Linked DNA regions of Drosophila melanogaster. The protein of the gene in region 4 interacts with the protein of the main gene of each other region in a pairwise test. Each region holds a gene or a part of one and is shown on either strand. Other genes may lie near its edges. The genes, in order: toy, CG4250, Lim1 and AOX1.

Evidence for each region.
Region 1: the proteins of AOX1 (region 4) and toy interact in a two-hybrid assay, tested with the Drosophila melanogaster proteins (one large-scale study listed by BioGRID).
Region 2: the proteins of AOX1 (region 4) and CG4250 interact in a two-hybrid assay, tested with the Drosophila melanogaster proteins (one large-scale study listed by BioGRID).
Region 3: the proteins of AOX1 (region 4) and Lim1 interact in a two-hybrid assay, tested with the Drosophila melanogaster proteins (one large-scale study listed by BioGRID).

Annotation. Positions count from the first base shown.
Region 1 is NC_004353.4:987,109-994,181, reverse strand, and holds the start of toy (twin of eyeless), read right to left. Parts: upstream 4,458-7,073; 5' UTR 3,931-4,457; coding exon 3,680-3,930; intron 2,117-3,679; coding exon 1,936-2,116; intron 1-1,935.
Region 2 is NT_033778.4:22,660,270-22,666,011, reverse strand, and holds CG4250 (uncharacterized protein), read right to left. Parts: upstream 2,321-5,742; 5' UTR 2,268-2,320; coding exon 2,099-2,267; intron 2,024-2,098; coding exon 1,891-2,023; intron 1,838-1,890; coding exon 1,735-1,837; 3' UTR 1,538-1,734; downstream 1-1,537. Other genes in the region: CG42867 (uncharacterized protein), read right to left, coding at 63-165, 228-328; CG42565 (uncharacterized protein), read right to left, coding at 4,847-4,943, 5,151-5,461.
Region 3 is NC_004354.4:8,801,837-8,809,265, forward strand, and holds the start of Lim1 (LIM homeobox 1), read right to left. Parts: upstream 3,969-7,429; 5' UTR 3,171-3,968; coding exon 3,128-3,170; intron 1-3,127.
Region 4 is NT_033777.3:15,530,555-15,540,418, reverse strand, and holds AOX1 (aldehyde oxidase 1), read left to right. Parts: upstream 1-3,126; 5' UTR 3,127-3,343; coding exon 3,344-3,383; intron 3,384-3,862; coding exon 3,863-4,791; intron 4,792-4,900; coding exon 4,901-5,134; intron 5,135-5,356; coding exon 5,357-7,172; intron 7,173-7,230; coding exon 7,231-7,851; intron 7,852-7,911; coding exon 7,912-8,093; 3' UTR 8,094-8,282; downstream 8,283-9,864. Other genes in the region: AOX2 (aldehyde oxidase 2), read left to right, coding at 1-280, 344-1,381, 1,447-2,576; CG31296 (uncharacterized protein), read left to right, coding at 8,946-9,071, 9,127-9,527, 9,587-9,864.

The DNA.
Region 1 (7,073 bases), on a different chromosome or scaffold from region 4:
TATTGGGGAATAAAGTGAGAAAAAAGTTAAAAATTGTTCAAGAGTGTGGGTGTGACTGTTCTGATCCCAGAAAAATGATGAAATTTCGCGTTCGCATTCACACTAGCTGAGTATCGGGTTCTTTCTTGTTTTTTTTTTACTAAAATGGGAATTTTTATTGTAATTAATGTATATACAAACTCGTAGGGGCAATGATTGGAGATAATTGTGAGCACATATCATTAATACATATCATTACTTTACTGTGTACTTGCTTCCATACATCCGGATTTAAAAACGATACAAGTCATTAAGCCACAAAACCTAATCCTAACCTAGCTAAGAACCTAAAAAGAAAAAATGTACCCTTATTTACCTGAATAATGGACATGTTTTTATACTGATTATTATAACTAGAGCATACTATCGAAAAACAAATAAACCCCAGAAAATGCCATGAGACTGTCGAAAATATCCTTTTCATAATCTATTTTAAAAAGAACGAATTGGGTTTGTCCCAAAATTATTTAATCCTTGTACACCCTTGCTTATAGCCTTTGAAACTATTAAAGCCATCTTAAACTGGGATTTCTCTCGTGACGCCCTTTCTCAAACGCAAAATATCTCAAAACTTCATATTTCCGAAGCTAGCTTCCTTTGCGTTATTGAAAATTGATATTTTCAAAATTTAGCTCATTAATAGTACTGTAACCGCCCAAATAATATGGTTTCCGAGATTCCGACGTTTATACAGAGTAATGGACAGGTAGTCATGATTAGATCGATCCAGTGTTACAAGCGGGCGACTGACGGGCATGCCAGATCGACTCAGCTGGTGATTCTAATTTAAACAAAAGAGAATTTTTTAAATTTGTACAAGTGTGAGCGTGGGAGTTTTTTGTGGGCTATGGGCGTGGCAACATCGTTAAACAAACTTACGCTGCGTTTTTGCCTCTGGAATCTGCATGCCTTATCTTAACTTTTATTAGCGTTTCATACGGCCATACGGACGGACAGACGGGCATGGTCAGATCTACCAGTTACACGTCATTTCGACGAATCAAGATTACCCTTTTGCTCTACGAGTAGCGGGTTAGTTTTGTGTACATATACGATGTAGGTTTCATTCTATCAGTTGCATGATTTTTAACAGATTTTCAATATTCATTTGGTGTACCGATAAAAATTGCAATGAAAAACAATAAAAAATATTGAACAACATTTTCAAAGGATGGACCTGACGTTTTGGCTTCTGTGTAATGACTCTGTAATGACACATTTCTGCTTTACTAGAATCTGCATGCATAATATCTCAGCTTTTTTACTTCCCGAGATCACAGCGTTTGTATGGACTGTTTAGGAATATATACTTTATAAAATCGCGAACGCTGTCTTCTACCTGTAATGTTATTTTCAACGAATCCAGTATACCATTTTACTCTACGAGTAACTGTATCATTAATCAGAGTTTTTAAGAGAACAGGAAAACAACTATAAATAGCTTAAAGCTATAAGGCTCTATTAGAAAATTCGTTTGAAACAATCTTCCAGCTTTAAACTTCTAAAATTTTTAACTTAAGACAGAAAGAGAGGTACAGACTGGTCCTAGATCCATCCTGATCATGAATATACATATATATTTTTAAGGATCGAAAACGCTTAAAATGGTATGTTAGAACTTTTATTAGTCAGATCAGAGTTTTTAAGAGAACAGGAAAACAACTATAAATAGCTTAAAGCTATAAGGCTCTATTAGAAAGTTAGTTTGAAACAATCTTTCAGCTTTAAACTTCTAAAATTTTTAACGTAAGACAGAAAGAGAGGTACGGACTGGTCCTAGATCCTGATCATGAATATACATATATATTTTTAAGGATCGAAAACGCTTAAAATGGTATGTTAGAACTTTTATTAGCACGTGCAGAAATATTATTATGTGCGCAAAATATAACTTACACTTGGAATGTTATCACTATTGCAAACTTGTTCCGATAGCAGTCGATCTCGTATTTCCCACGCAAATATGCTGGGACATTCCCGTTTGTAATCTGCAATTTTTTGCACAACCGGGGTTGTAGCTACTCGTGGCTTTGAACCACCTATAGCTCGAGGTTTTATCGATCCAGTTTCATAATATCTAAAAAAAATAAACTTATTTACATTTTATCTGAGTAGTCATTAAAAGTAGATAATAGAATAAACAATGAATATACAATCAATTTAGATTTGGCTGTATATTTTCTTATTTTGCAAAGAACAGAGAATTTAAAAATACGTTCTTCTTAAGATATGATTTTGATTTTTATGTATTATGATCATAAATGGTGAATGTGTTTCAATAATCAGAGTCACACAATGAGAGATTGGGATGGGGGCCTGATTTCAAATTTTCATATTACGAAAATCATTGATTTTCTTACTCTAAAGTATTTATAATAGAACTGCTAATATCTGATTAGTTCCAATTATGTAACTTAGTAGTCGAAAGCCGTAAATATTCTCGGGAAGAGCAGTGCTTATAGTAAAGTAAAAAAGGACATTCCTCTAGTATTGATTGAAAAATCCTCTTTCCAAAATGTTAGATGAGCACAAAAAAACAATTCGGAGTGCAGTGCTTGTAAATGCGAGCTGCAACTTGTAAAAAGAAAAGCGCAGCGATTCATTAGTGGTGACAATGCTAAACGCCGTCGAAATGTTTAGCGTCGAGATAATAAAAACTATAAGCAAACCTCAGCGTCAACAGTCAACACTTTCAGTTGTAGACATTAAATTAGTTAAATGCAGCCGGTATATAAATATTTTGCGAATGGCATATAGGATTGAATATAGAATATATGCTAAACAAAATAACATAAGTATTAATTAGAAGCCAGGGGAGAAATGTATTTGTTAGTGTTGTACAATGGACAGCACTTGCAATACGGACACCAATAACGCCGTAAAGAGGTTCTTCCAACAAACAAATTTGGCTACTCGCAAAACAGATGCTAAGCAAGTTCTCTTTAATCATACGCAGTCTTACGATCATTGGTTAGTTGATACGAAATAGACTAGGAGGCATTCGGATCTTATGCATATAGAAACTACTGAAACGTTAGTAAGGCCATTAACTTACCAAAAACAGAGAGAATGCTATAGTCGAATTCCCCGACTATACGACTAAATACGAAAGCAAAATTGTGTTATTTTTCTGGGATCCGTTTTTTGCGTTTTGTTGGTGTAAGAAGGGGTGTGGCGAAAGTGTTTTTGGTATACCGATAGAAGACAAACAATAAAACGATTAAAAATCAACACTTTTTTTAAAAGTGTTGGCAATATGGGTCAACAAACTTGCGCTACGTCCATATCTCTACAATCAGTATGCCTAATTCCAACCATCTAGCTTTTATAGTTCCTGAGATCGAGACATTCATACGGACAGACGGAATATATACATACTTCATATGGTCGGGAACGCATCCTTCTTCCTGTTGCATACTTTTCAACAAATCTAATATACCTTTTGACTCTTTGAGTAACGGGTATAATAATCGAATCTTTCATATTTTCCAAATTTAATATCACTCCCTGGTTTAAACGCAGTGCTTATATAATAAAGTCCGAAGTCAGAAATTTTAGCTGAGCAGTTTGTTTGTTGGAGGCTACTTTCGTAGTTCCTGTTTAGTTAAGAAAATGTCATTATGCACTCGAAATGCCTCACCTGCCCAAAATTTTGCTTACGCAACCGTTGGACACTTGTAGTATTCTTGAAATATCACAAGGACGTGCGCCGGAATGAGCCAATTCGACAATTTTTTGACGCGTTGAATCGGGCAGTGGCCGGCCATTAACATATACGCCGCCCAGCTGATTTATTCCGCTATGGCCCGCCGTGGAGCACCCAAATAGAGTACTCTGCCCGACTGACGAGTGGGGATGCCCATGCATTATGTGTTCAGTTGTTAGCATCATAATTAATTATTTTTAATGCGGCGTTGGAGACTTCGACGGTGGCTGACGTGCGTATGTTTATTATTGAAAGTGAGAAAGTAGGATTACTCCCTTTTTCATTGTTGTTAGAAGGGGGGCTTCGTTGCCAACTTTGTACATCCCATATATATTATCTTCTTCACCTGGTAATCAAACTCCAGACTATCACTTCAGACGTTTTAACATTTATCACTTTTTACTTGCCAGGATATGAACTTTCACTTTATGAGTTTTGTTTTAAGTGTGCACGATGGAAAGCGTTAAAGTGTTTTAAAACTGTATCATAGATCGTTTATGAAAATGGTCCCGATATTTTCCGTCGAAAGTACGGGTCCGCAGCCCGGCGGCAGCGCCACGGATGGCGACCTAGTTTATTAATCTGGGAATAATTTGCATTCAAAATGATCGAATAGTGACGTAGGTATCGGTTTAAGCTTGAACAAAAATTTCTTTTGCTAACTGGTTTCAGTGACGAGGTGCGCACTTAGCCAAGCGAAACGTTAATGAGCTCTCATGCGAAAAAACACTGGCAAGAGCAACGGCTAACACATCGGCCAGCCATTTTGGCGGCGTTGCTCTAGTTGTCTCTTTTCATTTGCAGTCAGCGATAGCTAACAACGTTGCTGTTTTCCGTGCCGTGAAAAGAGATAGCTATAGAGACATGAGGAAGAGAGGCATTACAACAAAATCCATCGTGCGCACATCTGGCAAATAGGAGTTGCGTAGGAAAGAGACGGCTATGGAAGAAAGAAAAGTGTACCCTATCCGCTTGAAAATCTTTTTGAAGTTTTGGTTGGTTGTTAAATATATCGTGGGCAACTTTAACATTATGGATTCAGCGATAATAACGCTGGAAAATAAAACTGAATTTATATAAACATAGATGGTTGTGTATATGTGTAAGTCTTATTCATCATTGTATGCATATGTTTGGTTGTGATGATATTTTATCATGTTTAATGCACTTAATCCCTAAAATATTTGATTATATAACCATGTATCCAAAAGTTTAAGAATCTGATCATTCTGAATAACATACAATCTAATCGTTTGCCATACCTTTGTTTTAAAAAAGTATAGAACGACTAGTTATTTATTGCCCTGTATCAATTCCCCATCTTTACGTTAAGTATTATTATATTTCTGATGTCGGTTGTGTTAATATACAAAAATACATTCACATATAAAAACTATGAGTGCATTTTATTAGTTTTAATTTAAATTTAAAATTGAACAGCAATAAAAACGTATTCAGGAAGGTCAAACAGTATCAGGAGTTCAAAATGCCTTGCCTTACCTGTAGCGTGATCTGCGTGACTTGGGCTTGAGATGAAGTTTGTATTGTTAACTTTAAAGAGTATTTAGTATTTGTAAATTTTTTGTTGTATATCTATACAAAATATTAAATATGTAAATACATAAATTGTCTGTTCTGCTACTTCTGCTTGTATTTACATTTTCGATATCTATTATTTACAGAAATTAAACCCCCAAGTAACAGCATTCAAAACCTAAACCACCCCAAAAAGCCACCACTGAGCTTACTTGCTCTCAACATCCTGTCCGACACGTTTTTTGGATTTTTGAAGTCACACGCATCAACGAATCTATTTCCCCTTCCACCACAATTTCCATTATTGTAGTGCCGGCATCCAGTGTGCTGGGCTTCTTCAAAGGGGCATATTCTTGAATCGCCTTTTTGTCATTCCTATTGCGTGTGCCAAAAATTTCATGGCGCATTGTAAAGGTGACGAATCTGATTTTCCTGGAATGTGTGAAAATACCTTAATTTATATTATTTAGCGTAGTGTCTGGGCTGCAACAAATGCATATAACCATTAAATTTTGCACTCATGATATTTGATTTTTCTTGCGTACCTACTTACTAGTAGAGTCTCTATCGATATGCTAAACAATAATTTAGCCACGTCTACTCTAAAGCCTACATTTTGTTTGATGTTTTTTTAATTTCAATATCTTTATCAATGTGTAAAATAGAATGTCAGAAGGAAGCGCCTACATAAAGTATCTGTATTCTTGGTCAGGGCCACTAGCCGAGTCGATCTAGCCCTATCCGTCCGTATTAACGTCGAAATCTCAGGAAATATATAAGCTAACAGGTTGAGATTAGGCATATAGATTAGAGACATAGACGCGGCTCAAGTTTGTTGACCCATATCGTCAACTCCCACAAATCGCCCAAAACCGCCACGCCCACACTTTTGAAAAATGTTTTGAAATTATATCATATTTGTATTAGTTTTGTACATTTTTATCGATTTGCCCAAAAACCGCCCAGAGCTGACAGGCCCAGACTTCCGAAAAATATTTCGATAAAATAAACGCTAAAATAAATGTATAAATATAATTAATAATCATATATAAATAGACTTGTACGAAATGAAAACGGTCGCTAGGTGAATAGAGGGCTTGGCGCTCTGCGAATCTCTCCCTTAGAGGTGGCTTAATTTAGCTAGGTAACAGGTATGAGAAAGCCGGGAAAAATTTTATTCCATCTCGGTATTTTTACCTGTCTTTCATTTAATCAAGTTTCTTTTTTCTCTTTCGGTACCATTTGCTTAGTGCATAAGTCGAAGTAGTTACCTTCGCATACTTCCACAGTTACATTAATAGTGAAGGCAGACGACAATACGTTCAATTTGGATTGGTTATATAAAAATATGTGATTAAGTAATATTTTATATTTAACAAGAGAGAACACGAGTTCCCCGACTATCAGATACCCGTTACTCAGCTAGTATGATGATATGATATTCATGATATTCTGGTTTGTGGGCGGTAGAGTGGGCGTGGCAACATGGGTCAACAAACTTGCGCTGCTTCTTTCACAAGAGAGTAGGTTATAGTTGATCACCTCAGCTAGTGGTAGCGCAGCGTAGATATTTTAACTTTTAATTGTCAAATGTATTGGAATTGACAAGATAAAATAATGAAATGAAATATAAGTCAAACAATTTTCACATGCGTGAGTAACAGCTTTGCGCGGTTTGGACCGTTACACTGGGCGTGGCAACCTTTTAAACCAAACTTGCACACCGTAATCGTATCCATACTATACATGCCTAATCTCATACTCTATAGGCTTAATAGTCCAAACATTATTA
Region 2 (5,742 bases), on a different chromosome or scaffold from region 4:
TGTGGTAAACAGAAATGCAACAGCATTCCTATTTTATTTCAGATTGAGATTCGTATGCCATCTTAGGGGGATCGGTTAGGATCGCCTTTCCAGCCACAGGAACTGCATTTGTAGTAGGATTCATAAATGCCGACTCCACAATATCGATGACCGCAGCATATTGCACTAGCAAATATAAACATTTCAGTTGAAGTTGAAGTAATATCTTCTCATGTGCACTAAAGTACCAAAAATCCATCTTAAGCTTCTTGAATCGCGAGATAGCCAGGCGACTTCTCCTCACCATGGTATGTGAATCGCAGTTGGGACAGTTCGAATCTGTCGACATTTCACTGGAAGCTCCAAGCTTCAACTATCTTTTGTGCAATGCAGTTTGATTGCCGGTTGCATGTTGCAATTGGGTGACTCATGGAATTCTCATGAAGTCAACGAAACATACACATGAGCGTATCAGAGAAATTTAAAAATACTACTACATATATACTTATACACTCTGTTATCAGTTTTAAACTGCAAACTGTGTATTCGAATGGATTTAATAAGTTGATAACTGCGTAAATTTCAAATATCAATTTTTATGTTTTTTGCTACATTGTTTTGACTTTGCACCCAATTTTTGAGCAAACATTCGTTGCTGGAATATAATTGCGATATTAGTTATTTATCGTATATCTATCGTACATTGTAAGCACTATAATTTACCAGTATCTTATAACACATCCATCTATGGTAGTCTTCATAACTCATAGAACGCTTTCTTTCGACACTCGTGACTCGAATTTGCACGTTTCACAAACTATCGTTGTACAGAAGTCTGAATTATCGCGATGTTTGTGAAATAGGAGGAGGAGTTGGAATTCTTTGGTTTTTACCCTGATCATAACATTACGCTGGGTTTTCCATTTCACGCTGACGTCTAGAGCGCAGCTCAAGTTCAATTTACTGAACTCGCATTTCATTTCAATTTGCCTGAACTGAAATGATAATACTGACTGCTGGAATCAGCGAAGCTGATGAATCTCGGCAAATATGAAATCCGCTTGCTTGAATAATAACTTACTTATATAAACATGTTAATAAAATTGGACATCGAATTTGCATCATTTCAGGTATTAATCTGGATACTAGTTGCCAACATTTTTTAAATTATATGAAATTAACTAAATATTGTTGCCCATCTTTTTTATTGGTATTATTGCAGAAAAAGTTGTAATCAAATAAACGGATAAGCGATCAAATTACCTTGTTTCTTCCCTATTCCTTTGTTTAGTGTTTAATTCGAAGAGGGGAAATATAAAATCTAGGTATTAAATTACAAACCTTTTTCCACTGTTCATTGACATAAGTTGTTCAATATACATATATATATATATATATATCCAGTTTCAAGAAGAGGCAGCGATTGTTAGATCAACAATGTGAATGAAGTTATATAAAGGGCGTAGGATGCAGAACCTCAGATAAAAATATCTATAATATATTCCCGCCTCAGAAATTTCCGGGATTTATTAATATTATATACGAAAGTGTTAACATTCATATATCGCCAACAATTTGTGTGATTAGAAATTTATTTTGAAAAGTAAACCAATGCGAAAATTACATACATATATTCAATTGATTTGAACCAGAGTTGTATTTCGTGAATATTCGTGCCAAATCTGATCCCATCAATAGGTGTGGAGATACAAAGTGGGATCTATCCCTGTAATATTTGGTGTTGAGATAGCACTTCTAGTTCTTGTAGGTGCCCACGTAGGCTCCACAGCTGGTGCAGGTGTGTTTGGCCGACTGGCAGGAGTCGGTGCAGTACGGAATGCAGCAGCAGCAAATGCCCCTGAAAATGGCCATTAGTCCTGCGGGCAGGTGGAGCAAACGGGCTGCACTTACCCCAGCATGCAGATGAGTAGGGCCAACAGGTGGGTCTTGGTGCTGGGCTCGAACTCCACCTTCGTCTCCCTGCGGACGCCGCAGCTCGGACAAGTGGCAACGGATGGACATTGGCCCAGGACATTGGGTGGAGCTGAAAGAGGCACGATTGGATTTCGTATAATATGCGATATTATATTTTATGTTTGAATTGCACAGAAGAATTGACCATTATTTCCGATTGATTCATAGTTCTCTGTATTCTCACCCTGCAATATCACTCCCTGTCCCTGATGGAGCTGAGGATAGACCTGCTGCGGTGCGCTATCATAACTGGGCGGTGCCTGGAAACCCGGAGCCTGAGGCTGCATATTCTCGTATTGAAAGTTCTTCTCCATTCTAATTATTCCGACCGATGTGTGCTACGCGTTTGAATTGCCGACAGCGACTGAAACCGCAGAGAGCTCCTCCAACATTGCTCGGCGAACTTTCGAGTTGCGGCGCGATGCGAATTCTATATAGCCCTACTATGTCGGATGGCTTGCTAAGCGATTTCCGTTAAATATTATGTGGCTATCAGAATAAGGGCTTTTACATGAGTAAGTGTTCTTTTTTTTTTGCAGGATGAAAAGCTTTAGTAAGAAATTGCTCAGCCATGATGAATTAATTAATATCAAAACTTACCAATAAAACAGAAATGTTAGCACTTAGTAGGGTATTCCATTGTCAGGTAAACAAACCAGTAGCTTTTACCCTTCCGAAATGGTCCTTCCAGCTATGCTATTAGCACGTATATAACAACAATTTGCATATTTATTGAAAACATAAGAAATACTCAACTCTGCTCAAGAATTGCGTTGTCTCTAAAACAAATCAACCCCCAGGTAAAATCCACTCGTTTCTTCCTTGAACCCTTTTATTGGTGTGCTGAAGAATACATATGCCGGCACTACAATGATTTGTTTTGTTATCAAAATAGTGCGTAGTAATAAATGTGAGAGAGTTAAAAATAGATCAAGTGGGGATAAGTAATGGGGGCTGCATTTCGGCACGGCTGCTGGCTGCAGTCCACGACAAAAAAAAAAAAACAACTTCCGGCGGAAGTTGCTCAGCGCTCGTAGGTGCCAATGTAGGCGTTGCAAGATGGACAGTGGTGGTCGGAGTTCCGGGCGCATTGAGTGCAGTACAGGCAGCAAGCAGGGCCAAAGGCTGCACGAAAGAGATCACTCAATGAGAATGCACCCAGAATGTTAAGAAATCAATATCGAACATGGCTTACAAGGTAAGGCACATAATCAATGCTATCAGGTGAGTCTTGGTGGTGGCTTTCGGCTCCACACGAGTGGTAACCTGTTGACGGCAACTGGGGCAGACCACGATGCACGGTTCCGGGCCAACGGAAGTGGACATTTCGATGGCGGAGCTGCAGAAAGAAAGCACAGGAAACTCTAATAACTCTCATATTGATTGCAGCGCAGACCTTGAAAACTTGAATACGTCGCGTGCCGCTGGTGCATGAGCATTAAATTGGCTGGTTAATGGGGATTTTAATTGCACACCCGCCATGCAAAACAAGCTGTAATCCGCCTTATCTCCCGTCGATGGCACCACGGTGCTGCGCAATCCCTCCTGCCGCCGTGAGGTCATCCTCGTGGGCCACGGAATCTCTTGTGCCATGTGGCAAGCTTCGTGCCGACGCCGTCATCGCACAACCGCGTGTGTCTGAGCCCCGCTCAACCCCGATTCCATCCATCATCTTTGCTCGTCGTTTGGTGCAACTTGCTTGCTCGGTCTGGTCCTATCCAAAATCAACACAATCTATTTATGTATGTTCTCACTAGCGCAAACCACCCAGCACAGTATCCTTATTTAACAGCGGGTGTGTCCGTCGCCAGTGATTAACATTCCCCCCGAAATCCTACTGTCGTCCTGTATGTCTTTGCTGAGTTCTCCCCCAAGCAAAAGTAAATTTTTTGGGGAGCGGCAAAGCAGCGGTAAACATCTAAACAACCAGATATTACCCAATTAGACCTGACTATAATAGTCCGTTGCTCATGTTTGACCCAATCCTAGGCTTGCATAATATATCTCTCCCGTCATACTTACAATCTGTATGGGTGGGTACGTTGTCAAAATAAATAAAGTAGAATTCCGATTTCACAGAGAGACAAAAAGTTAATGCGCACTGTTTGGGCTGCGAAAGTGTTGTGCGGTCAGAAGTTTAGGGCGCGAAGCGGGACACTACACTTCCAAAAGTATTTCCGTTAGCAACATTATGTTGCCTAACTGGGAAGTGATATTTATATACATCCTTAAAATTGATTACAGCGTATCCCTAGGCTGAGTTAAATTAAAATCCTTTTATTCCATTTCTTAAGAACTAAACATTTAGCAGAAATTCAAATATTTTACTAAATATTCAATTATAATGCAAAGAACTTCAGTGATTTCATTTAATAGCATGAACAGTAATCTTGAAGCATCTTAGCATCAATTTAAACTGTGCCAACATGCCGGTTCGTCCCAGCAACATTTTACCGGTTCAAAACAGTTTCATATCAACATTTATTGCTGGACACAAAAGAGTTGTGCTACGAAAAAGTTTCGGGAAAAGACCGCCAAAAAGTACACAAAAACAAAAAAAAAAAACGTATGAACAATTAAGTTTCACATTATTTTTTCTGCAAATCTAGTTGTCTGCAGCAACAATGTAGCCAGATACCCAGAAACAGAAATTAAAGAAAATTCCATTCGCTTCAAAATCTATTTGTTTATTTTTTCGCTGTCAGCTTATTTTGCTCACTAAGCAAACATATTTTTATGTATGTTAAGTGATGAAGACACCACATTGACGCCGTCGATACATAAGGAGATATGAACATACATACATATATGTATGTATAGTTGGTTATGTATATATATATACATATATATAAAATGAAATGATATGAAATCGGCGAGTGTTTTCGCTGCGTCTTCAAAACGAACCCAAGCAGGAGTTGCAGTTGGGACAGTACTGGGAGGTCTTGTAGCAACAGTTGCAGCAGCAAGGGGCGCAGACGCAGGGCCAGCATCTGGTGGATAGAGATGGGAAATAGAGTATATAGCTTATAAGGCACGATCAGCAATTTCTCATAGCTTGTCCAGGAAGAAGCAAAACAATTGCGGCCACAGATATAGCAGACTAGTAAAAACATTTCTTTTTCCGTTTGCTTACATACACATTATGTATGTACAAACCTTTGTTGCTATACTTGCAACCATAAATGCGATCTACTTACAGGAATAGGCAGAGCAACGCCGCCATACAGTAAGTTGATCCGGTAGGATGGTGCTCCACGCGAAGGCGAATCCGAGCGTTGCAGTGGGGACAGATCGTTCCCTGGCGGGTATTGTCCACCAGCACTGTCGTCTGGTGATGCATCACGCTTACGGGCTGCAACACCGGCATGGTTTGGGCCATCACGGGTATCACCGGATTGGGATGTGCGGGCGACGCCAGGTTCTGCTGCATGACGTCCTCCGCTGGAGGAGCGGTGGCGAATGGATCCGAGTAGGGCGGCGGGGAGTCTACGCGCTTGTAGCAACGCATGCTTTTCTATACTCTTCAAATCACACTAAAAATATCAACCAGTTGCTTACAGCTGCGAACGAGCACTGATATAATACTGAAAGCTTCCGTATATGTATATCGATGACAGTTTCATTAAACTCAGAACTGCCTTATCGGTATCGGTATTCAATTGATTCGCTTTCCTCATATTCTGGGTATTTATCCTAATACGAATATAAAATCTATCTACTGGCACACTAGGTGAGGAAATTATGGACCAGAAAAGATTACTTCATATGTGCAGTGAGAGTAGTAGAAAC
Region 3 (7,429 bases), on a different chromosome or scaffold from region 4:
AAAAACATAAAAGTATTTTAGATTTGTAATAATGGATTTCTTCATATAAAAACTGAAGGCACGCTAAGAAAAGATGTATAATTTAGTTTGCTGTTCTACAAAGTTCTAAAACCGCCTCGATTTTGTTTTATTAGACTCTTCGGCTGACTTCCGCCAATCTGCGTCTTGGATCGAGCGACTTTATTGTAATGACTTTTAATTTGAAAGTGGCGTTGATCGAGAAACGGGTTTCCAATTACCAATTTTGTGTGTGTGTGTGTGTGTGTTTCTTTGTTCCAGCCAGCGATAGTTTGGCGACCGACCACCGGAGAAGGCAGTGAAAATCGCACAATATATTGACAAGAAGAGAGGGTCTCAACGCCTCATTATGCATGGCAATTTATGGGCCGTGCCACGCCCTGGAACTAGACCTTAACCCCTCACTGTCGACTTGCAGTTTGAAGTTGCTAAATGCGGCAGCTGCATAAGCACGGCTGCCGTGTCTACGCTTCTTGCTTCTTGCCCCATAAATCAACGAAAGGATCCATAGAGCCGTTGATGGACAAGTTGAAGCTGCAGTTGAGTCCACGTTGCTGTCGTCGTAAATGTCCAACAGCGCAGGTCTAAAAACGGCTAGAAAAATCACATTTCCTTGGACAAAAGCTTCCACGGAAATAATGTTGCACAGAAACAGAGGAGCCACAGACCCCACGATCCCATCCTGCCTGCATACATTCGAGTATATACATATGTATGCATGAGCCTACTACACCCCATAATCGTAATCTTCGGGATCGTAATGATCTTCCTTTGTGGCCAGTCATAAATGTTGATGAACAGCAGCGCAAACTTTTGTCGAAGGCGTTGCCGGTCTGAGCTTTTGTTGCTGCTGCTGCTGCTGTTGCACGTTGCTGCTGTTGCACGTTGCTGTTGCTGCACGTTGCTGTTGCTGCATGTTGCTGCCGTGTTCGCTAGCAGCAACATAAAAATTGAAAAGATGCTGCCACCAAGATATATGCGAAGAAAAATGAGCAGTCGACCAGAGAAATGGCCGATGATATTGGTAATTGAACGACGAGGGGTTACCCTATTCTATTGAAGTTTTGAAAACTAAATTCCTTAAGAATAAACACATTACCAAAGATTCAACGACCTAAATTGGTATCCTATCTTAAGTATTTCCAATACATTTTTTCCATCTCATTTCAAAACCTTAACTATACCATAAAAAATTGGATATCTTTCCTGATTCCAAATTACTTTACGAACTTTCGAAAAAAGATACAGCTACTGCGCGGAAAAGTTATCTTCATTAAGCCGAGTTATATTCAGTGGTACTTTACTTTGTAGTTTTCCCCAACTAAATGCAAGTTAAGTTCATAACTGCCAACACTTAGTCATTAGCTAATGGGTATGTCTATGAGCGAGAAATAAAACAAAAACAAAAAAATCCAACCGAGAAACAGTAGAAGCAGGAAGAAGAAAGCTTGGCAGCTTTACGACTCCACTTGGCATCAGTCCGCCGTCGTAAGGTGGCCCACTGTGCGGGTCTACGGCTTCCTGAACATCCATTTTCCAGTCAAATGTCGACAGCTTTTGACTTGAACCGCCCCCGGAGCTGCAGGCCCCAAGCCCAAAAACCCCAACAGTTCTCTAGCCAATTTATGGGGGAAGTAAGGTGTCGGCCGCTGTATGTCCAATGTCAACAAGTTAAATGGAGAATTTGCAGTTGCAATTTCCATCGAACCTCACTGGTTCGAAAACGAAGCTATTGAGGATTTTAGAATATTTTTGAAAAATTTTTTGTGGTATAAAATACCTTACTACATTTTTACTAATATGTACTTAAATCATTTCTCATTTCATTTCTTTTGATAAGAATCCAAAATATACTCGAAAAGAGTGTTCGGTCTCTAAATCTCTGCAGATCCTTAATTTTGTAGTTTATAAATGTTTTTTATAGTTATTCAAATTGATGGGGAGCTACATACATACATATAAACGAAATATTCCTCACCAACTAATCACAAAATACAAAACTAGAGGGGAGCCTTCATTTCTGAACTTTTTGCTCCCTTTTTACTATTTTTTTTTTTTTTTTTTTTTTTTGTTCCTGACATTAAACAGTCAGCAAAAGTGAAAATTTGACAGAGAGCAAATGAAATAAAACAAAAGCCAAAAAAAATGAGATGGGGTAGAGGAAGAACGGCAGAAGAAGAAGCTGAAAAACTTTGACAACTGCGCAAAAGTTTTTCAGTCCAAAAACGAACGGGAAAACAAGAGGAGGAAAAACAAAACCGAAACAAAAACAGATGAACAAGAACTTCAAAAGCATACAAAATGGTAATGCGAAAAAGAGACGGCAGATGGACGACGGGGCATTAGACGCCCCTCTCCTCCTCGCCGGCGGTCCCCTAAAAACGGGAAGCAAGTTCAAAAGTGCAAAAACTTTGCTGCTGCCCAGCCGTCGCCATTAAAAACTCCTTGGCCATCTTAACCCATTGCGGGCAAGCGGTATTGTATTAACCCACCATCCTAGGGATCGCATTTCGCCGATCCTTCAAGGGGTTGACTTCCTTTTAAGGACTTTCGACCGCACTCGACCCTACTTTTCTTATGTCTTTCTACCACCAGTTGAAAATCTAAGACCACATCCCGTCGGCATAGCGATCAAGCCATTTTTAATAGATTCCACTTTTTTGTCAGTACATTTTTCGAAAATTCACTTCTTTGCCATCTTTTAAAAGTATTTTTGAAATGTGTCATTGGTGTCATTGATCACTCGTCTACAGATTTTATAAACAATTTAAATATTATACGAAGCCTACAAACAGGTGTTTTCATTCTATTTCGATAGAGGACATCATGAATATTACTTAATCTAGATTAGATGTAAACAACTTCTATTTTCGATCTGTAAAATGTTTCATCCTTGACTTCCCAATGATATTATTCTATAGAACTACAAGCACAACTCAAAGATTTAGTGCTGATTCTTGGATGAAATGATTTCGATTGCAGTATCCTATATGTGACTAACCTTAAGAACTTGCCTGTTTGGGATTCTCACTGCAAACCCCCCAGATTTTCTATGTTTTCCTGGACCCTTAACCGCTTAATGCCTAAATTCCCCAAAACGATCACTTACCGATATTGTGCTGGCTGGTGTGTAGTACCGCCCCGAACGCCATCAGATGGTCCTTGGGCGGGGGGGCGCGGCTACCGAGGGCGGCGAACCCGTCGCCCAGATATGACGCCAGTGCGACGGCCCTCAGGGGCGCTTTTGAGGCCTCGGTGAGAATTTTGTTGTCGAATATCTTGATGCCGGGGGGATGGAGTTTTTCTTTTTTTCGGGGGGGTTAAGAGTGACTGCTTTTTTGGGGGGGCCGTCAATGGGTTAAGTCCCGCGTGTGTGTGCGTATGTGAACGAGGCGCGCGTGGGTGTGGATATATGTGTGTGTGTGCGGGTGCGGAAGCGAGAGAGAGAGGGAGAGAAAGATAGGAGCGGGCCCCAACTGCACACTTAACGGTTAACGCACATAAAGACTGGGTGGCAAGGTGCGAGCAAGAGGGGGATAGCACGTGTGTGCCGGCGGCAAATTTGGCAAAACAAAAACAAAGCGCGAAATTCCGCTCCTCTTTGAGTTGAAGAAACTTCCTCCGCTTCTATTATGCCTTATATTCCAGTATTTCTTTAGTTGTTGTATATGAAATTGATTCTTTTCTTTTTAAACACTTTGCACTATCGGCTTTTCGGCGATTCCTTGGTTTTGTTGTATTTATGTGTTGTATATTCTTCTTGTTGTTCAAGATTCTCACTTGCAAAAAAATTTGAACAACGGCAAAAATTCTCGGTTTTCGATCTCGCGGCGGAACGGTAAACAGCTGACTAACGGTAAACGGCTGCGTTGGCTCCTTTTTCGAGCGTTGCCTCGTGCGCTTTGCGTTTTGCGGGCGCTTCACGCGAACGTCAAACAAAAACTGAAAACGGAAAACGGCAAACGCGACGGCAAAGCGGACGGCCCGATTACCGATAGCTGCCAGCCGAGCGCACACGCACACACACGAACGGCGAGCCGAAGCGGCGACGAATGGCGCGCCTGGGTGCGAGCGAGATGCTAGCAGGCGCATCGCTCGCACTCGTGCTACCGAATGCGGCAAGCAGTGCTCGCATATTTCGCCTGCGCCAGAGCGAGATGCAGCGAATGTTGAGCTGGGGCTGCTGCGACGCCGACTGCGCTGCTGGCGGCGCTGCAATGGAGTCGCAGGCTCTCTCGCTCTCGCTTCCGTCGCTTCTCCTGGCTCTCTCGTGTTGGGCATGAAGAAATCATATTATTCTTAAATAAAAAAATTGTTTTTCAAAACGTTTTCTAAAAAAATGGAAAAAATATGACTAGAATATTTGGTATGCATATCTAGATTATTATTAAAAATATTTTGGAAAAGGATATACAATTTCATAACAATTGGAAAAAAATATCAAGAAATCTTAATTTTTTTTCCTTTTTTAGGATTTAATTTAGGTGATTGTTCGATAATACACAATATAAGTTCTTTGAAAATTTTGATATATTTAGCATGATAACTAAATATTTAGTTAGCCTTACTAGATGCTTGTTAGATTCATAAGATTTTAAAAATCCAAAAATTCACTTTTTTTTTAAATTCTACACACATTCTTCTGTTGATCTTGGGCTTTTGATCCTTTTCTCAAGATTGGTGCTGGCGTTGTTCCTGTAAGGATATTTTTGGTTTTTGTTGCTGTTGTTGCCCTTCCATTTTGCCCATTGTTGTTGCAACACTGGCTCTCCTGCTCTCCAGCTCTCTTTTTTGCGGTTAGAGGGGGCGTTGCTAAGCAACTGGTTTTTTTATTGTTGCTTCATTGAGAGATGCGCAAAATGGCGCTCTCTCGCTCTCACGCTCTCCGGCCGTCGCGCCCTCTCGCTCACACTCGCTGGCCGGGCCAATGGCATTTTTCAAAGTGACATTTGCCCGCGTTTTGTCCCTTTCGCACTTGGCGGTGCTTGTGTGCGTGCCAAGGTAAAATGTCAAATGCTTTTCGACTGTCAACTGTTGGTCGCAAAAACTTTTTTCTTTCCTTCTTTTTTATTTTTAGTTGTTGTTTTTGTTCGGCTGCCTCTTCTGCAACTTGTGTTTGTCACTTGTCGTTAGCAGTGCGAAAGGGAGAGCACTAGTGGCGGGGGGTGGTGGGGGCGTTAGCTGGAGAGGGACGCCCCTTTGGCGTTTTAACGCACTGGAGACAGCAAGAAAAAAAAACGGAGGCGAAGAAAAAAAAGCAAAGAAAAAGTGTTAGATAAATTGCAAGTAACAAAAAATTAGTAGAAAAAAACATTTAAAATTGTGCAAAATATTATATCTTTTTCTTTTTCTTTAACAAATGCAATTTTAATAAGCTTTCGATTTAGATAAATCTATAGCAAGACACTTATCGTAAAAATAAACCAATACAAAAACCAATAAAAACCATAAGAAATAATATAGGATTCAAATTGCAAAAATGCCAAAGATCTAAACAAACAACAAGAAAAGACAAAACTGGATAAAATAAAAAAAATGCATAAAATAAGTGAGAGTAAAAGAGAACGCATTATAAAGGTCGGGGAGGAGGCTCCCGCTCTCATTCACTCCTTACGGTCTTCCCTCTCACTCACACTTCGATAGGAAGAAGAAGATGTTCGACACAAAATAAGGGGGCTGTGGTGGGTTAAAGAGCGCCGTTTGCTGTGTGCGTGGATGTGGGGTAGTCAAAAATATTGCACATTAGGGTGTTAAGCTGTGAAGTGCTTGCTTTTTGTTTTTGCGTGTGCGTGTCACTTTTCACTTGTTCTGCGCTATCGAAAAGTTATCGAAATCAGTTGATCTTTGACGGCCTTGAAAACTGCTTTGCCCCAAATTTAGTAAGAGCAAAAGGGATGAGGACATAATAGGAATGGAATAAAAAGGATATTGAAGCAAAAACACTTACATAACTACTCTCGAGGAATAAGATATTTATAATACACTTTTTGGCAAGCAACAAGTTATTTACATTCAAGACCCCAAAAGAACACAAGGAAAAGGAGAATGTCTTGGGTATAAGGAATAGAGGATAAGAGCCAAGCTGGGGATCCACCCACAGCACATTGTGATCCCTAATCTGTCATCTCATTCAGCCGCGCTCGTTACCTTTGGCTTTGCCTTAACATTACCTTTACCTTTGGCTTCTGTAACTGCTCAGGTTCCTCTGCTTCCTTTTTGCATCCCCTCTAGCTTCACTTGGCGTCCTGTCCTCATCTCCACTTAACCCACCTCCTTCCTTCCACCTTTGCCAACAAATGTCAGTTATCAAAAAATCGCAGTAGCAACGAAAAACAAGCAGGAGCACAACAGTTTTAAAACAATGTTCTTGAATACTCTTTCTGAAATCAAATGAACCCCATTTAACGAATAATTGTTCAAATCCAAGCCACAGTCACTATTACTTTAGATATTACTTTAGATGTCGGTTTTAAAGGAAAAATAAATATTTTAAATCTGGCCAGGTACCAAAATATTCGGACTTTTGGTGAGGGGATTGCAAAAAAAAAACGACTACTCGACCGAAAACAAACAAGTAGCGGTAAGAAAATGTTGGACAGGCCGTGATAAGCCGCAGCTAACTGCCACGCCCACACTGCAGAAACAGCACCGCCCACCTAAATGGGGCGGCAGTGGGGGTGGCAGGTCGATGGCCACAACAAAATCAACAATAAAAGCAAGAAAATCATGAAAGGCAAGAAAAGCGCGACGAACTTCGCGACGCGCCATAAACTTTTGGCAGGCGATATTTTTGGGGGCCGGGGTGTACAGCTGCGGTCAAGAGAATAGTGGCTGAAAAAAAAAAAAAAAATTACAAATTTTACAAAATTTGTGAAAATATTGTTAAATACTTTGTTTTTGAATATATCTTCGATATCTGTGCATTCTAAGCTTTATGATAATTTTGATTCCTCCTAACCTTAAATTACTATTTATTTATTGCGAAAAATGATTTGGATTCTGACAACAACGAAGAACGCGGCTCCCAAGTTTTGGGAGTCAAGTGGTTGCCCCGCCACGCCCACTTGCCCCTCCCATTCCGCCCCCTAAATGCGACCAGTCACGAACTGAACAAACAGCAAACGGACGTCGCCATGTCACGAAAAGAAAGAGGATTTACAAGGAGGGGAGCGGCATGAGGAGAAAACGAGGGGCGAATCAAAAAAAAAGAATGAGCATAGTGATGCTCTCTAAAAAATATGGAAAAAAAGCCAAAAACCAGCAATAAATTAAGGTTAAGTATTAAAATACGGGAGTACATGTAATGTTATGTTATATTTTTTAGAGTGTGTCTCCTAAAAAATACTGACAGAGAAAAAGGTCGATCGCATTGCGATTGATATGCACAAGCGTTCGAAAACCATCGAAAAGC
Region 4 (9,864 bases):
GATCTGTACGATCCCGCCACAGTTGCGCAGATCTTTCAGGAACTCCCAGCTAGCTTGCAACCCGAGGAGCGTCCTCCGGAGGCCTCCCCGGAATATCGCCAAATGCTAGCCTGCTCCTTGCTTTACAAGTTTCTGCTGGCCACCGCACCCAAGGAGCGAGTTCGGGAGCGTTTTCGGACTGGAGGCTTGCTACTGGAGAGACCACTTTCCTCGGGAAGCCAATCCTTTGAGACGATTAAAAAAAACTATCCCGTCACGCAACCAGTTCAAAAACTAGAAGGTACATCGTTTAAGAAAACCCTTTTCCATACGTGGTATTATTATTATCGATTTGGATTTCCAGGTCTCATTCAGTGCTCTGGCGAGGCCACGTATATGAACGATCTACTGACAACCTCAAATGCCGTCCATTGTGCGTTTGTAACTGCGAAGAGAGTGGGTGCCACCATTGAGCAGATCGATCCTTCTGCTGCCCTTCAGTGCAAGGGAGTGGTGGCCTTCTATTCGGCCGAAGATATCCCAGGCTCCAACAACTTCGTTCTGGTGAATCAGCTTACACCTGAAGTGGACGAGGTCTTTGTTGCCGGGCGAGTCAAATACTTTGATCAACCGTTGGGAGTCATCGCAGCTCTCACCCATGATGCGGCTGTCTATGCTGCCACATTGGTTGTGGTCACATATGCCCGGGATCAGCGAAAGATCTTCACGACCATGAACCAAGTGTTAGCGGAAAAGCAAACCGATCGGATTGTGAGCACGAAGAAGGATACCGTGGAACCCCTAAAGCTGCCTCCTCTCGCACCTGGCGATGTTCTTGGCAGAGGGATCCTGGAGCTTGCGTCCCAATACCACTTCACTATGGAACCACAAACAACCATCGTGGTGCCGCTTGATAACATTCTGCAGGTATACTGCGCCACCCAATGGATGGACGCCACCCAAGGAGCGATTGCCCACATGTTGAAAGTTAGTGTGAACTCCATTCAGCTCCAAGTTAGACGAGTGGGTGGAGCGTATGGTGCAAAGGTCACTAGAGGCAATATAGTTGCTTGCGCCACGGCTTTGGTGGCTTCAAAGCTAAGGAGACCTGCCAGATTTGTCCAGACCATAGAGTCCATGATGGAGACCATTGGCAAACGATGGGCCTGCAGATCGGACTACGAGTTCCGAGCCAGAGCCAATGGATCCATTATCATGTTGAGTAATAACTACTATGAGGATTCCGGATGTAATCTAAATGAGAACGTCGTTGACTTCCTGACTCTGCCAATTCTGAGGAATGTTTACAATCTGACTGACGCGAACTATAGGACCCAAGGCAGTGCCATCAGAACGGATGCACCCAGCTCCACTTGGTGTCGAGCTCCTGGTTCCGCAGAGGGTAAGTCAAAAACCATTTAAAAAGGTTTACAGTATTTACATATACAATATCGTTCACATTCACAGGAATCGCCATGACGGAGACCGCTTTGGAGCACATAGCCTTCACCTGCCAGCTAGATCCTGCCGACGTTCGTTTGGTAAATCTTCAGCCCGGAAATAAAATGGTGCAGCTGCTGCCAAAGTTCCTGGCCTCCACAGAGTACCACAAGCGGCGGGACCAGATTAACTTATTCAACTCCCAGAACCGATGGCGCAAACGAGGTCTGGGATTGGCCCTAATGAGTTTCCCGCTGAACACGACCGTGGCCTTCAACTATCCGGTCACAGTGGCCATCTATCATGAGGACGGGTCGGTGGTGATCTCTCACGGAGGCATTGAGATTGGCCAAGGAGTGAACACCAAGGCGGCCCAGGTGGCAGCATTCGTGCTGGGTGTTCCGTTGGACCAGGTGAGAGTCGAGGCCAGCAATACTGTAAACGGAGCCAACTCCATGCTGACGGCCAACTCGATGACCAGCGAGATGATCGGATTGGCAGTGAGAAAAGCCTGCGACACTCTAAACAAGCGACTGGCTCCGGTGAAGGAAAGACTCGGACCTCGGGCCTCCTGGGTGCAGGTGCTCCAAGCGGCCTTTTTGCAGTCCGTGTTTCTCATCGCCACGGAATCTTACCGGTTGGGGGATATCCCCAACTACAACATCTTCGGGTTGAGTCTCACCGAACTGGAACTGGACATTCTGACGGGCAACCATCTGATCCGCCGGGTTGACATCCTAGAGGATGCCGGGGAAAGCCTGAGTCCACATATAGATGTGGGTCAAGTGGAGGGCGCTTTTGTCATGGGTTTGGGATACTATCTCACCGAGCAGCTGGTTTACGATCGTCAGACAGGTCAGATTCTGACAAACCGCACCTGGAACTACCACCCACCAGGCGCCAAGGATATCCCGATAGACTTTCGCATCGAGTTGCTCCAGAAGAGTCCCAACCCCGTGGGCTTTATGCGATCCAAGGCCACGGGTGAGCCTGCTCTGTGTCTGGCTGTCGGAGCTCTGTTCGCCATGCAACACGCCATCCAGTCGGCCAGGAACGATGCGGGTCTTCCGAGGGAGTGGGTTCGCTTGGGGGCACCAACGACGCCGGAAACGGTCGTCCTTAACTCCGGAAGCCAGGTGGAAGCATTCGCCTTGTAATGAAATGAAGTTCTGGCTTAGATTTGGGTATTTTTCGATATTTCATTTGGTGTACTGCTTCGATCTTTTGATTTCTTTATCTGTATTATGTAATTTATCTTACTAAATAAATATAGAATCGTGTGGAAATCGTTTGAAGTTTTGAAGAATCGTTCTCCTGTTATATAATTCCTAATAGAATTGTATACATATGTACATATATGTTTTGAAGAAATCTTTCGCTCATAAGGCACCACTCTGTTTATAGGACTAGTTCCCCTTATTCCGAACATAATCTCGCCGTTTTGTTTAGAAATATGAGCAAAACAAAAACGTCGAAACAAGCCGTTTACTGATAAAGCTTTCAGTTCCAAAACCGAGGGAGAGTATTTGAAACCGGCAGACGATAACGTTTCAGAGTGCTACGATGATCTAATGCTGAATTGTGAGCGCAGTATATGGAACATGGTAGTTAAGAGCGGGGAGCAGGTGAACTTGAACTTGGAGAGGCGGGAGTCTCTTTCGAGGGCCGGAGAACCACTATATATATGGGGCTACGGAAGGCCCATACCCTCAGTCGCTCGCAGTTCGGCGTGGAATCAAACGAGGCTGACAAGTGGACTCATTGCCACATATTGTGAAATAACATAGTTTCCAGAACCCACTATAACCATCCAAATAATTCTGAACACCCGCGTCAATTGAAGGCGAGAAAGGCTGCAATTAATTTCACAACGATTCCCGGACGGCTTTTAAGTGATTCAAGGGACTTATATAATTCACAGATAATGGCTGGAAGAATTACAATCAACGGCACCAGCCACGAAGGTGTGTATGCATGTGTGGGCAGTTAATTGCCTATGGATTGATGGGGGCTGGCATCTACAAGATTGCCGAGACAACGAACTGGAACACCAGGGTCGAGAAATTCGACTACTAAATACCTGCTAGTTAGATGAGAGTTGCGACGACCTTGTGAAAAGCTTGGTGAATTACTTCTGAGTAAAACATGGCTAGACTCGTTTCCAAAACAGTTGTAACAATATTTTATAGGGTTCCATTTCATTTTGCTAATTTATTTTCATTAGCCCATCAGAGCACTTCTACAAACTGAGAGGTACTGAATATCAATTACAAGCATTTTCTTCTAAAATATTTAAATAATAGCTCAGCAGCAATCGTTAGCTCATAAGAAGCAGATATCGCAAACAATTGTTCTTTGACATGTTGTGAGGAATTAGGCTACTCGATAAGATAACACCCGGATTGTGTAGACACTTATGCCTCCGTTTGCTTGTGCCCCCTAGTCAACCTGTCTGCCCTGCCGGCGGATATCTCGCTGAACACTTTCATCCGAGAGTATGCCGGATTAACGGGCACGAAGTTCATGTGCCAGGAGGGCGGATGCGGCGTCTGCGTCTGCACCCTGACTGGGATTCATCCGGAGACCGGAGAGCTGCGCACCTGGGCGGTCAACTCGTGCCTCACGCTGCTGAATACGTGCTTGGGCCTGGAGGTGACCACTTCGGAGGGATTGGGCAACAAGCGGGTCGGCTACCATGCCATCCAGCAGCGACTGGCCAAGATGAACGGCACCCAGTGCGGCTACTGCTCGCCGGGAATCGTGATGAACATGTACGGCCTGCTGAAGTCCAAGGGCGGCAAGGTCACAATGGAGGAGGTGGAGAACTCCTTTGGAGGCAACATCTGTCGCTGCACTGGCTATCGTCCCATTCTTGACGCCATGAAATCCTTTGCCGTGGACAGCAACATCCAGGTACCAGCTGAGTGCATTGACATTGAAGACCTGAGCACCAAAAAGTGTCCCAAGACCGGCCAAACCTGCTCCGGCAGCTGCAAGAAGCAGCAGCCCAAGGGCAGCCAACTGTATCCGGATGGCAGCCGCTGGAGTTGGCCAGTGAGTCTGGGTGACCTCTTTGCCGCTCTGCAGGGAGCAGTCAAAGAGAAGCTGCCCTACATGCTGGTGGCTGGAAATACGGCCCACGGCGTCTACAGACGTAGTCCGGACATAAAGGCATTCATCGATGTTTCCGGCTTGGCGGAGCTCAAGGGTCATAAGCTGAGCGCAGATAACTCATCCCTAACTCTCGGTGGAAATCTGAGTCTCAGTGAAACCATGGAGCTGTGTCGCCAGTTGGAGAACACGAAGGGCTTCGAGTATTTGTCTCAGGTGTGGCAACACCTCGATTGGATCGCTAATGTTCCAGTGCGCAATGTAAGTCAAATCCAAGAGGTTTGAAAGCCCTCGACCCTTATCTAATCAGGCCAACAATGAAAACACCTTGAGCACCTTGTGTTTATCAACCCATTTCGCATTAACCCAGGCTGGCACCTTGGCGGGCAATCTGTCCATCAAGCATGCCCACCCGGAGTTCCCCTCGGATGTGTTCATCGTCCTGGAGGCCCTAGATGCTCAAGTGATTGTCCAGGAGGCGGTGGACAAGCAGCAGACTGTCAGCCTGGCCAGCTATCTGGGCTCTTCCATGGAGGGAAAGATTATCCGTGGTCTGGTGCTGCGCGCGTATCCCAAGGAGCGGTTTGCATTTGACTCCTACAAGGTGAGTGCAAATTATGGAGTATTCGAAGTAGTGAAGTGCAGTACAATTTCTTATCAACGAAAGTAATGCGACTTTACAAATGTCTTGTAAGTTTTTAGAAATGCGAAAAAAACGAGCAATTACGACACTTTGGGGTGATTATCTCAAAGCTGATAAGATAGCCATTCTTTCATTTACAAATCATTTAAAATTGAATATATTTTAATTTTACTCTTTTAACAGATTATGCCCCGTGCGCAGAATGCCCATGCCTATGTGAACGCTGCTTTCCTCGTGGAGTTCACGGCAGACGCCAAGGTGAAATCAGCTCGCATTTGCTTCGGTGGCATCCATCCCGAATTCGTGCATGCCACAGCGATTGAAAACTTGATTCGGGACAAGAATCCCTTCGAGAACGGATTGGTGGAGAAGGCCTTCGGGCAGCTGTCCACCCTGCTTCAGCCAGATGCCGTTCTTCCGGATGCTTCACCCGTCTACCGACGCAAGTTGGCCTGTGGTCTTTTCTACAAGTTCCTCTTGAAGATAGCGGCTCAGCGAAAGCAGGGTTTGGGCAGTCGATTCGTCACAGGCGGTTCTCTCCTGAAACGTCCCGTTTCAAGTGGCCAGCAGAGTTTTGAGACCTTCCAGGAGCACTACCCGGTGACCAAGGCAACAGAGAAGCATGAGGGTCTGATCCAGTGCTCTGGCGAAGCCACCTACTCCAACGATCTGCCCACCCAGCACAACCAGTTGTGGGCTGCGTTTGTCATCGCGAAGAAGGTGGGCGCAAAAGTCACCAAGGTGGATACGCAACCGGCTCTGGATCTACCCGGGGTGGTGGCGTACCTCGATGCCAAGGACATTCCGGGACCGAACTACGTTGGGCCCAAAATCCGGGACCAGTTTTTCTTCCCCAAGGATGAGGAACTATTCGCCACGGGAGAGATTAAGTTTTATGGTCAGCCCGTGGGCATAATCCTAGCCAACTCCAATTCGCTGGCCAATCGGGCAGCAGAGCTGGTGAAACTGACCTACGAGGGCGGAGCGGAAGAAATACTACCCTCCTTGAAGGCAGTGCTAGACAAAGTTGGATCCGAAGCTGGCAATAACAAGCGGTTGGAGCAGCCCATCAAGTCCACCATCGATGTCCTCCAGCTGGAGGAACCCTTTGATGTGAGCTCCTCCGGCCAACTGGATATGGGACTCCAGTACCACTACTACATGGAACCGCAGACAACAGTGGTTCTGCCCTTCGAGGGCGGCTTGCAGGTGTACGCTGCCACCCAGTGGATGGACCTAACCCAGGACACCATCGCCAATGTGCTGAACCTCAAGTCCAACGATGTTCAGGTAAAGACGCGTCGTATTGGAGGAGGATATGGAGGCAAAGCCACACGATGCAATCTGGCTGCTGCCGCTGCTGCTCTGGCTGCTCACAAGCTGAACAGACCCATTAGATTCGTCCAGTCCTTGGAGTCCATCATGACCAGTCTGGGCAAACGCTGGGCCTTCCATTGCGACTACGACTTTTTCGTTCAGAAATCCGGAAAGATCTCCGGTATCGTTAGTCGATTCTACGAGGATGCTGGATATCTGGCCAACGAATCACCCATTGGTCATACCGTTTTGCTATCCAAGAATTGCTACGAGTTCAGCGACAACTACAAACTGGATGGCTACCTAGTCTGCACGGATTCGCCATCGAATACTCCGTGCCGTGCTCCTGGCTCCGTGGAGGGTATTGCAATGATGGAAAATATCATCGAGCACATCGCCTTCGAGACTGGAGTGGATCCGGCTGACGTGCGATTCGCCAATTTGCTACCCGCCCATAAAATGGGCGACATGATGCCGCGATTCCTGGAAAGTACCAAGTACAGGGAACGGAAGGCGGAGGCTATAGCCCACAACAAGGAGAACCGCTGGCACAAGCGCGGATTGGGTTTGTGTATCATGGAGTACCAGATCGGTTACTTCGGACAATACCCCGCTACGGTGGCTATCTACCACAGCGATGGCACCGTGGTGGTTTCCCATGGAGGCATTGAAATGGGTCAAGGTGAGTGATGGTCCTTGGGTAAAGAAGCTGGTCTTAAACTTTTGTATCTCTTTGCTAGGCATGAACACCAAGATCTCGCAGGTGGCGGCCCACACCCTAGGCATTCCGATGGAACAGGTACGCATCGAGGCCAGCGATACCATCAACGGAGCCAACTCCATGGTCACTGGAGGGGCTGTGGGCAGTGAAACCCTCTGCTTTGCAGTCCGCAAGGCGTGCGAGACTCTAAATGAACGATTGAAGCCCGTGCGCGAGGAGGTGAAGCCCGAGAATTGGCAGGACCTCATCCAGGAGGCCTACAACCGCAAGATCAATCTGATCGCCAGCGATCAGTGCAAGCAGGGCGACATGGATCCGTACTCCGTATGCGGTCTCTGCCTCACCGAGGTGGAGTTGGATGTCCTCACCGGTAACTACATTGTGGGCCGAGTGGACATCCTGGAGGACACTGGTGAGAGTCTGAATCCCAATGTGGATATTGGCCAGATCGAGGGTGCATTCATGATGGGCTTGGGCTACTGGACCAGCGAGCAAGTGATTGCGGATCCGAAGACGGGCGAGTGTCTCACGAATCGTACCTGGACGTATAAGCCACCAGGAGCTAAGGACATACCCACTGATCTGCGCATCGAGCTGCTCCCCAAGAGTCCCAACAAGGCGGGCTTCATGAGATCCAAGGGTGAGTATCTATCTACAGCATGGTTGTGAATCCAGCTAACTGGGACTTCTTTATCCTTAGCCACCGGAGAGCCAGCCATCTGTTTGTCCATCGCAGTCGCCTTTGCCCTGCAGCAGGCCCTGCAATCAGCTCGCGATGACGCCGGCGTGCCCAAGTCTTGGGTGACCCTCACCGCCCCGATGACCCCCGAGCACCTGGTCCTCCACTCGGGCACCGAGCCCAGCCAGTTCAAGCTGAACTAGGTGGAGAAGAAGAATGTGGACTCGTATCCCTGACCGTGGGACATGGCACGTGGCCACGATGGGAACGCTCCGATAAGCACGCCAAGATAACCTGCACTTACACCCCCACTTAACCTGGCGGATCCGCCGACTCTAGACTAGCCGACATTGTGTTGTCTGCACAATAAATTAAAAACTTATCCAACGCTTAATCCAAATGACATTCATTGCCAGCCAGCCGTCGGCCTGGGTCAACAGAAGCCCCTGTCCAGAGCTCCAGGCATTCGGAATTTACATTTTCCGGGCTCTTGCTTAATGCTTAACACCTCAACACGCGGACACACCCCGCCAAGAGGTCTTCATTAATTTTAACATAAATTGTTGTATAGAAATTTTATGCCACACGAAGCGTTAAGTGTGATCTGGCCAAAAGGTCGAGGGCGGGGTGGACGCGGAAAAGGAAGGCGGGGGCAGCAGTTGCCTTGCGGTCGTGGCAGAAGGACCTAATGGATTTTTCAAATATCGCCAACTGCTGTGCCCTTAATGAGCACATCCCTGACGACATTGTTCAATTGACACACTTATAATGAATGTGGCAGCTTTAATTGGGGGAGTTTAAGATCCCTGTGGTTTCGGGATATAGCATACCAGTTATAATTAATAATATCAAACGAGGTATGGTTGCTACAGTTAAACCAGGTAGCGCTATACATATAAGCTCTCTCACTTCCCAAGAAATCATATGTTTATAAACATTAGCCGCAGCTTTTTATGTTCCTAGAAGAAACTGTTATTACAGTTAAATATACATACTTTGTCTAGGCAATAAATAGGCGAATTTCCCCTAGCAAAACCTCCAGACTTCACTAGAAAATGGAACTAAGTGGGTTCATATTCGTAGCACTGCTCAATTTCATTCCCTTTGGATGCAGCAAGTTGGTTGATTTTTGCCAGCTGCCTTACTGCGGTACAAATAACCTAGCCTGTAATAACCCATCGGTGAGTGGAGTACAATCTGAAGAAACTACATCCGTGAAATTGTGTATTTGCTCAGAAATTCAGCGTCATGTGTCCACCGAATGCCAGAACTCTTTCCATGTCGACCTACAGGAATTTATTACTAATTGCCTTCAATGAGTTTCGCAATTATACGGCGAGCGGGAAGCAAAAGTATCTCAAGGCAGCGGCGGCACGAATGTCCCGATTGAGTTACTCAATGGAACTGGAGGACTTAGCCCGACTGGCGGTCATCACGTGCTCCACGCACAAGTTTTGCCTGAACTCACAGGAGTTCTATTACGTGGGTACCAATATAGGTTCCACCCACTATTTGGGTAACTTGAACGACTACGAGGACCTAGAACTCATGTTGCGGATAATACAGCATTGGACCAGATATGCGGATTATGTCAACATTAAAATGGGTGTCTATATGCCGACAACTTTGGGGAAAAGGTGAGATATATATTAATAAGCCAATTAATAGTTCAAACAGCTAATCATTGCATCTTCAGTGGAATAGCAAAAGCCCTACTACTGATGGCAGATCGGAACACCCATGTGGGCTGTTCGGCTATGAGATTCACCGTGCACTCCGTCCACAACTTCGTCTTCTTGTGCGCCTTCAGCACCGATCTCTTCGTGGAGCGACCCATCTACCGGATGTCTATGAGACCAGGAGCTGCTTGCAAGCGCTTGGATCCCACATACTCAGCACTTTGTGCTGTTGGTGAAAACTACGAAAACAATAAGCCAATGCTAAATGCAAGGGTATTCCAGTTACCCCTCGATT